2 linked regions of the Arabidopsis thaliana genome follow. The protein of the gene in region 2 interacts with the protein of the main gene of each other region in a biochemical or structural test. Each region holds a gene or a part of one and is shown on either strand. Other genes may lie near its edges.

Evidence for each region.
Region 1: the proteins of ATS9 (region 2) and PUB22 form a complex in vitro, tested with the Arabidopsis thaliana proteins (one study listed by BioGRID).

The regions. Positions count from the first base shown.
Region 1 is NC_003074.8:19,439,864-19,444,491, forward strand, and holds PUB22 (plant U-box 22), read right to left. Parts: upstream 2,565-4,628; 5' UTR 2,388-2,564; coding exon 1,080-2,387; 3' UTR 754-1,079; downstream 1-753. UniProt on the Arabidopsis thaliana protein: E3 ubiquitin-protein ligase that negatively regulates water stress response. May control in coordination with PUB23 a drought signaling pathway by ubiquitinating cytosolic RPN12a.
Region 2 is NC_003070.9:10,178,550-10,183,567, forward strand, and holds ATS9 (non-ATPase subunit 9), read left to right. Parts: upstream 1-1,752; 5' UTR 1,753-2,048; intron 2,049-2,049; exon of another isoform or gene 2,050-2,322; intron 2,323-2,664; 5' UTR 2,665-2,690; coding exon 2,691-3,950; 3' UTR 3,951-4,239; downstream 4,240-5,018. Other genes in the region: AT1G29140 (Pollen Ole e 1 allergen and extensin family protein), read left to right, coding at 480-648, 916-1,262. UniProt on the Arabidopsis thaliana protein: Component of the lid subcomplex of the 26S proteasome, a multiprotein complex involved in the ATP-dependent degradation of ubiquitinated proteins. In the complex, RPN6A is required for proteasome assembly.

The sequences.
Region 1 (4,628 bases), on a different chromosome or scaffold from region 2:
ATTCGAGTGTAATCCAAATTAACTTTGACATGAGCGATTATTTATGTAAAACCTTAGGAATTTATATTGGACTTATAGCCCGAAAGTAATAATTAATTTTCTCAGGTAAAACGACACTGTACTCATGTTCTCCCCAAGACCATGTTCCCTGATTGCTAGAACCGAGGTGTATAAATACAGAGATTCTTGCTATATAATATTGCTATAACGTGCTTTAGATTCCTATATTCATCTATCTTTTGCCTTCGATCTACCGATAATGAAATGTCTATTGATCGTTAAAACGCATGCAAAGAGTTTTCGTAAACAGTTTTTACCACGTTTAGTCTAAATCATTTTAAACTGAGTGATCTAAAAAATCACAATAAGTGAATACAAAATCACATATATATGAAGGACTTTTGGTATGTTTACATAATAATTAAGAAAACAAATCTTAATTAAGAATTTCTTAAAACAGAAACTCATCCTCGAATGAAAGAATGCCCGTCGTGGATATCGTCGATGTATACTGGAATATATAAATCAATAGTGGGATTAGAGTTGTAGAACGTACCGACATAATATATATATATATACATAATTACATTCGCAATGTTACAATTCTGGCATCAATTAAATGGTCAGAAACGTTACACATGACGCATACAAATCTCTAAAAGTATTTGTAAAAAGTAATGGTTTTAGCAGAACTATGATGTAACCTTTAGGTTATCCACTCAATAAAAACGAGAAGTTGAAAGAGATGTTCTCCATTATTATTGTGAGTAATGGACAAAAAGAATATAAATAAGGAGCCTCTAACAATTACGAACAAAGCAAGTGGGATAAAATAGCCATGTAACCTGTGAATCCATTTATTTCTTTGCAGTTTTTTCATAATTTCATGAAAATATGTCCACTATTATCTACACATAATGATAAACATTGAAAGATAATAAAACAAAAACAAATGAAAGAAAATCAGAGTTTGAGCAAAATTTAAACCACTCTTTTTTGTTTTAAAATGAACTTATACGAAGAATAATTCTCAAAGAATTGTTTGTATCTGATGAGAATTATTCAAACATGTACGTTGTTCAAGCAGGATACGAATCATACAAATTTCTTGGGACACAAGGTGATTCCCTCCAAACCCTAGCGTGAAGCTTAAGCAATTCTTTAGCCTTTTCTTTAGTCTTGTTACCACAGCTAACTTGAAGTACCAGACACAGCTTTGCTACAACTCCCAATTGCAACATCTCCTGCAACAAAGAGGGTGTCGCGCAGAACCTCCCAACCGAAAGCAAAACCCTAACTGCCCTTTCACTAGTTATTTGTGAGACCCTCAATATCTTCTTAGACACAACCGCAATAGCGGCACCGTGATTCAAGAACTCAGCTCTTCCTTCTGCGCACTGACATAACATATCAAGAACCACCATCGCCATCTCTGAATTCCTTCTCTCTGATGAGAAAGTATCGTCCATTAAAAGCTCGATTATCATCGAGATTGTTCCACCTTCCACTGCCTTGTGTCTATTCCTTCCCCATGGACATGTGATCACCAAGATTTGCATTGCTGATCTTGTCGCCTTGTGAGAGATCTGGTCGTGCAAGATTTGAATCACCTCACCGAAAAGTTCTCGTTCCAACAATATGATCTGCATTGGATCCGCAACTTCCAGGAGCTTCTTGAGAAGCAAAGCCGCATAGGCTCTTGACTCGTAGATCCCACGTTGCATAATCTTCGTCAACGTTTTCACAAGATTTGTTCCTTTCTTGTTGTTTAAAAGACTCTTGAGGGCTGTCTCCGATGTGTCAAGATGGTAGAGTACGCTTAGGGCTTCGTCCATCAAGCTTCTTGAAGAATCAAATCGATTCTCCAACATGTTTGACTGACACATGTCGTTGAGATTCGAAGAAGAAAGTGAAGAAGAAGGAGAGTTATACGTATCTACAGAGTTGCTTACGATATTTGCCAAAAACTCCGGAACTTCTGCGGCTTCTAAGCACCGTTTGTTGGTTGTATTCTCAGATACTATTTGACGAAGTCGTTTGAGGCATTTGACTTGGTTTAGATGCGAAGATGACGACTCTTTGATAAGCTTTTCGATCTCCGATTTACAGATCGGAGGTTTTGGAGTTGGGATCCTCTCTATACCATATGATGCGTTGAGGGTACACCAAGATTGAATCAAACGGCGAAGAGTGTGGTTTGGGGTAAGATCAGTTTCGGTTATGACTTGTTTGGTGACTGGACATGAGTTTTTCTTACCGGAAAAGAGCCACTTCTCGATGCTTTCTCGGTCGTAGGTTATTCCGGTGGAAACTATCACCGGATCTTTCATGATATCTAGAGAGATTGGACAAAGGAAGAAGGAAGGAATCTCTATCTCTTGATCCATTTGACCCGCTCGAAAATATGAAAAAAAAGAAGTAGACTTAATCAATGGAAACGACGAACGAATCTAAACAAAAAGCTTCAAAGTGCAGTCGTTGAGATTTAGGAGATATGTGAATTGGTTTGAATAAGTTAGCAAGAAGATAGATGAAGAGTTTGGGTCTTTAAATATAAAGGGATAGTGGAAATATTCAGAATAATTACAAAAGTCAAAACACGGAAAATACAAGTATTGTTAAAACTCTTTTTGGATAGCTGTCGCTATTTATTTATTATTGTATAGTTTTTTATTAGAACGAACGAGGAACGTTATATATAGATTTGACTTTTTTTTTGGGTGGTGTAACAAAAGAAACTAAACTATAAATGCGTTTCTCATATTAAAAAAAAAAGTGAGACGTATGAAGAGTGTTGACTTGTCAAAAGAGATGCGATAACGGCGAAGAAAGTGTAAAAAGTAACCAAGTCATTGGGGATTGGTTGTGGCGGTGTTGAAGACAAATAGATTGTCTGTTTTGTGTCTCTTTTTCGTTTTACTCACATGCCATAATTGCTTATTCCTCCTCTTTTTTTGCCATCCCCCATTGACTTTTTATTTCATTTTACAAAAAATTGTAACCTAAATTGGCTGGCTTGTTTCAATTTTCAAAACTATGGTTAATATAACTGTTAATCAACCGAAAGGTAGATGAAGATTTTTAGGTTTTTAATTTTGTCAACAAAAAGAAGATTACTGTTTTTGGTACCGACAAAACCTAAAGTGCCATTAACGGTCCGTTGTTGGATTTTGTACATTGTTTTAGGATGCAATCTTTTGTGATACTTTTGGACCCATACTCCCTTGTTATGCTCTACTTTTGTCTAGGCGCTTCCACAATATTTTGGATATTCATATTTTCAGTTATTTTTCCTCTCTTTTTTCCTTTTATCTTTATATATATGTTGGCTTTGATCTTAGTGCCAATGGATATGCCTCTCATCTATTGGCAAATGCATAAACTATATACGTTTTTTATCTGCTTTTGGTTATCACTGAAGTTTTGGTATTCTTTTGAGTCTGATATCTATTTTGGTCAATTACATTCGATTAATTAAATAGTTTTGGTATGCATAAACTATTTTGGTACCACTTGTGGGACATTGATAACTCAGTCTCTTCAAGTTGTTTTATCGTTCTTCCGATTATCAGGGATTCACTTAATGTTTTTATAGAACGTTATATCATTTCATCTTGACAATATATATGAGTTTTTGATCTGTCGATGGACATCTTTACTTCCATTTTTGTTTTTGCCATTAAACAAAATCCATAGGTTCTACAATCCAGTAAACTCTAAACATTGTCATTTTTAAAGAATTACATACATTTTTAACCAAATCTATATCTATATATATATACCACTTTGTGTTTTCCAAAGACATCTTTCGATTTCAAACATTTTAGTTATTAAAAATTGCATATATTACGAAAAAGTCAACATAATATGATTTACAGCTTTATATACCCTATGATTAATGAACTTATGAGTTATGATATTGGTTATTTACTAACGTTTAAGTAACGGAATGAAAAGTGTATATATGATAAAGATTTTCTGCTGTTTTTTTAAAAAAAATATACGAAGAGGATATCATCGATAGTCCGTTATCCTTAATCAACACTTCTATACCTTTTAAGATTTCAAATGAACTGATATTTCTCTTGTCATAGTTTGGCTTTGGTGGTTCTTCATGAGTCTTTAATTGTTGGTTTAAGACTTTAAGCCATTTGCTGTTTACATTGTAACTATTTCAACCTATGTTATTATTTGTTTCAAGCTTATTTGACCTGATTATAGAAACTCGATAGTATTCTTATGATTTGGAAATTTGGAAAATATATGAAAGTATAACAGAATCACAGAACTGAAGTGAAATATTTCCATCTTTTTGTTAAATTAAGATATTATTGAAAAATAGAAATAAGTTAGGCAACTCTTGAGCACGACCAGAATCATGACCAAGTTGCAACTATATATGCTACTAATCAGCAATTCATTCAACCACAAAATAATAATTTATCCAAATAGATAGATAATTGACTTCAATCTTGAGGATATATATTTATTTGGGTTTATGTACAAATAGCTCTTTCCCATTCTTTGAGCAGCGGTCATATATTACAGCCAATTAATAAAATTTAAGAATATATATAAATACATATACGTACTGTATGTTGACATAATACAGTATATATATACATCTA
Region 2 (5,018 bases):
TTTACTACTAATAAAACTTTCACTTTGGGGTCTAGTAGATAATTCTCCACCCCCATTGAATCTTTTTAGTGGAGGTCTAAACATACATAAGATTCTATAGATTGACATTTGGGAAACCATCCTCATACAAAAAAGACCTAAACGGAATCTATGAAGAATTATTAACAGAAAAGAAAAACAGATGGCAATGAGAAAAGATCGGGTTCAAGGAAAACACAGCCGTACAAAACTCAAGAACAAAAACACCAAAAATAAACAAAAAAACTTCCAAAAATAGATATAGAATCACATGGTTTTGTTGTTTTGTCTATTTGTTCTCTATAAAAGGAGATATTTGGTTGGATCTATCATAGCGTCTCCTCTCAACCAAAGCTTACAATTTGTTCTCCCTTAAAAACTAAATTTTACAAATAAACTCTCAAATCCAAGAGAGGAGAAGACCGAAGTAAAAACACAAGAAAAAAAAGGATTAAGGCATAATGGCCAAATTCTTCATTGTCTTCCTTGCCTCTGCCCTATGTTTCACCACCCTCGTTCACTTCACCGCAGCTGATGCCGACGACTTTGACAAATTCCACATCAAGGGCTCCGTCTACTGCGACACATGCCGTGTCCAATTCATCACCCGTATCAGCAAATTTCTCGAGGGTAATTAACCACATTCTCTAATCAAATTCATTTGTTGAGCATACTGTCAATAGCAAAATATATTGGTTGATAAAAAATCGATCCCATTATGGTATATAGGTCAATGGTTAGAATTGTGTAGTAAAAATTCACAAAAATGATTACAAGCATATATAGACGTCTTTTTAACAATGTTAAAATTTTATAAAAATGTGGTTAGTCACATTTCTAAGAGTTAGTGTTGCAAGATTATAAGAAAAACTAATTACGTTATTGTGTGTATATCAGGGGCAAAGGTAAAGCTTGAGTGCAAGGGTCGTGAGAACCAGACAGTGACCCTAACCAAAGAAGCCGTGACCGACAACGCCGGTAACTACCAGATGGAAGTAATGGGTGACCACGAAGAGGAAGTGTGCGAGATCGTCCTCCTCCAATCACCTGACCCAGAGTGTGGAGACGTGAACAACCAAGAATTCCTAAGAAACGCAGCCAGAATCAGTCTCACGGCCAATGATGGCATTGTCTCCAACGAGACTCGAACCATTAACCCACTTGGGTTCATGAGGAAGACTCCTCTCGCTGAATGCCCTCAAGTTTTCAAGGAGCTTGGAATCGTCCCTGACGTCACCTTCTAAGCTTAATATACATATATACACACCCATATACATCGATCTCTCAAAGTCTCAACACTTTCAATTTTTTTGATGACTCTTTTTAATATATAAAACATTTATTTATGTTTTTTATGTGTCTGTCTGAGTTTACTAATTAACCATGTTTTTTTTTCGTTGTTATTGTTTTATTTTTGGGAGTTCTTTTTTACGAATGATTTGATTACCTTCCAATATTTATTTGTTACTTTTCGATTGAACAGATACATGCATGATGTAGTGAAAAACCCTACTCTAAAATAAATTTAAATCATTTACATGCATAGTGAAATTTATGACAGTTTGAGAAAGCTACATATGTAACATATAATGTGAATTATAGTTTGAGGTAAATGACTCAAACTGAAATAAGCAAAAGACAACAAATAAAATCGAACCCTTACCTAAAGAAGGCGGATCAGAGTTTTGTATATATTGGGCCTTTAGTCTGAGCCACTAGGCCTGAATCACAAAACGCGTTTTCACGACAAGCGTTTGCACCAGGATCTTTTGCAGCGTCTGGCGTTGGTTTTCAAACTCTGAATCCGAAACGCTAGATTTTAAGACGCCGAATTTGTTAAGCGTTCTCTATTTCCTGATTTCAGCATCTAAAGACAAATATACCCTTCAAAAAATTGTAAAACTACGAGAAGACTGTCCATTTATCTTTTCTTTCAAGCCAAAAAAAACTCTCGAATCTTCTTCTTCTTATTTCTTCTATACCGTCGTCGAAAAGCTTTACCAAAATCTCACGCCCCCGACGATTCATCGGTAAGTCTTGTTCTTGCGAAATTTCATTAATTCTTCTTCTGGGTTTGCTTATCAGATCTGCTTAATTCTGGGTTTTGGTATGCGTATTGTTTTCGATGTTTTAAAAAACCACATCTGGTTCCTTGTCTCGATAGTTCTAGGGTTTAGCTTTCTTCGATTTAGTTGATCTCAGTGAAGATGGGCCCGAGGATGTTCTAATTCTGATTGAAAGAAGCTGAATACAAAATTAAATAGATCTTAAAAGTATTTGAGTCGAAGAATTCGAACTGAATAAGTTAGTAATTACTGAACTATGTCTCTGTGATTCATCTTATTACTTAAAAATTAGGTTATAGTTTCATAGGCTTTGTAATTCAGTTCCTGTATTACTTATTGTAGCCTCGTTGTATCTTTGTCTTTGATAGATCTCTAGGCTTGTCTTGATCATTAGGTACAGAAGAGTTGATAAATTACAGTGATAAATTACCATCGTGGCTTGTCTTTATCTGATTATCTTGGTAATGTATCGAAGATGGATTTGTTTTTGTAGTGATGTGAAACCTAAAGAGTATCAATAAGCTTGAAAGGAGAAATATTTGAACATTGCATTAACAGGTCTATGGCTTTATTGTTGCAGGGATTTGAGTTTGCACTAAACCCACAATGGTTTCCTATCGTGCTACCACAGAGACGATTTCCCTGGCTTTAGAAGCCAACAGCTCGGAGGCTATTACGATACTGTACCAGGTTTTGGAAGACCCTTCTTCATCTCCTGAGGCTATACGGATCAAGGAGCAAGCGATTACAAACCTTTGTGATCGATTGACTGAAGAGAAGAGAGGTGAGGATCTCCGGAAACTGTTGACCAAGTTGAGGCCTTTCTTTTCCTTAATCCCCAAGGCGAAAACTGCGAAAATCGTCAGAGGAATCATTGATGCTGTGGCAAAGATTCCTGGAACAACTGATCTCCAGATCACTCTCTGCAAAGAGATGGTCGAATGGACCCGCGCTGAGAAGCGTACTTTCCTCAGGCAGCGAGTAGAGGCTAGGCTTGCAGCTCTTTTGATGGAGAACAAGGAGTATGTTGAAGCTTTGGCGTTGTTGAGTACTTTGGTAAAAGAGGTTAGGAGATTAGATGATAAGCTCCTTCTGGTCGACATAGACTTGCTGGAGAGCAAACTTCACTTCTCATTGAGAAACTTACCCAAGGCAAAAGCTGCACTCACTGCAGCTAGGACAGCTGCTAACGCTATATATGTCCCACCAGCTCAACAAGGCACGATAGATCTGCAGAGTGGGATTCTTCATGCTGAAGAGAAAGACTACAAAACCGGATACAGTTACTTCTTTGAAGCCTTTGAGTCCTTCAACGCTCTCGGAGATCCGAGAGCGGTTTTCAGTTTGAAGTACATGTTACTGTGCAAGATCATGGTTAGCCAAGCTGATGATGTTGCAGGAATAATCTCCTCAAAGGCTGGACTACAGTACGTTGGCCCTGACCTGGATGCCATGAAAGCAGTCGCTGATGCTCACTCGAAGAGGTCCTTGAAGTTGTTTGAGAACGCACTCCGTGACTACAAAGCACAGCTTGAAGATGACCCAATTGTCCACAGGCATCTCTCTTCTCTCTATGACACGCTTCTGGAGCAAAATCTGTGTCGTTTGATCGAGCCCTTCTCAAGAGTTGAGATAGCTCACATTGCTGAGCTCATTGGATTGCCGCTCGACCATGTGGAAAAGAAGCTATCTCAGATGATACTCGACAAGAAATTTGCAGGTACCTTGGATCAAGGAGCTGGATGCCTCATCATCTTCGAAGACCCAAAGGCAGATGCTATCTACTCGGCTACCCTCGAAACCATTGCAAACATGGGGAAGGTCGTCGACAGCCTTTATGTCCGGTCTGCCAAAATCATGTCCTGAGAGAGTGAGTGAGTTGGTCGTATGAATCTCATTCTATCGTTCTTTCTTTCTGGTTTTAGATATCGTTTGGACTCAAAGAAACTGATGTTTCTCAATGGAGAAAGTAAACTTGTCTGAATTGTTCACATTACTCGTTTTGCTTATGATCTTATTATGTCATGGTTTCTTACCTTTTATTAGTGCTTAAAATGTAGTTTGTTTTCATCTGGTTGTTGCAGTTTCTTTTTCTTAGCCTCGCAAGTCAACATTGTGTTCTCTTTTTCCAAAACCTTTAATCTTTACCTCATCCAAATCTCATTGATTTTTCTATCTCCGCATTTATAAATTCTGACCAACCCAGAACTCAATTCACAGGACCCACCATTTCTTTTCTCAACTCAGGACATGACTTGCACACAAGCAAGTCTTGATTTTGTTCTCTTCTTCTGTCATATTCTTTTATGTGCTGCTTCATCACAGTAGCTTTTCTAGTTAGCTTCGTGATTATTGATGAAGTAAACAAATTCTGTTAAAACGTTTATTTTAAATGTTAACACTAAAATGTGACATACTACAGTCATCCACAAAAATGTTGATAAGGCATATATTTTCACAAATCATAATATTTCGTTAAGATTTAAGACATTTTTTTGGCTGTTTGAAAAGGTTATTTATCATTAGTGGTTTACTGGTCTTTTATTGGAAGGACAAACATTTAGAGTGTTCCAATATTTGTTCAATTTCTTCTTCATAAACAGTAAAAACCTTATTCTAGTTATGTAGGTATCCCATTATTGTGTGATTGTCAGTTTATAGCTGAAAAGTGAAAACTTAAATGTCCAATTGAATGAGGTTTCTTCTTGGTTGAAAGATTAACTAGACTAATGTCCATAATCTTTAACTAACTTTACGTACACTTAAACGATGCGAAGCTACAAAGACCAAAAAAGTTAGATTTCTATAGGTTTATGAGATTGAGCAATAATAACTAAAAAAATTAGTACTACTAATAAATAGTTTCAAGGATAATTAATGGTCAACCACACCGTCTTTGTTTAGAGAAGAAAAATCCCACGGCCACGAGCTTCA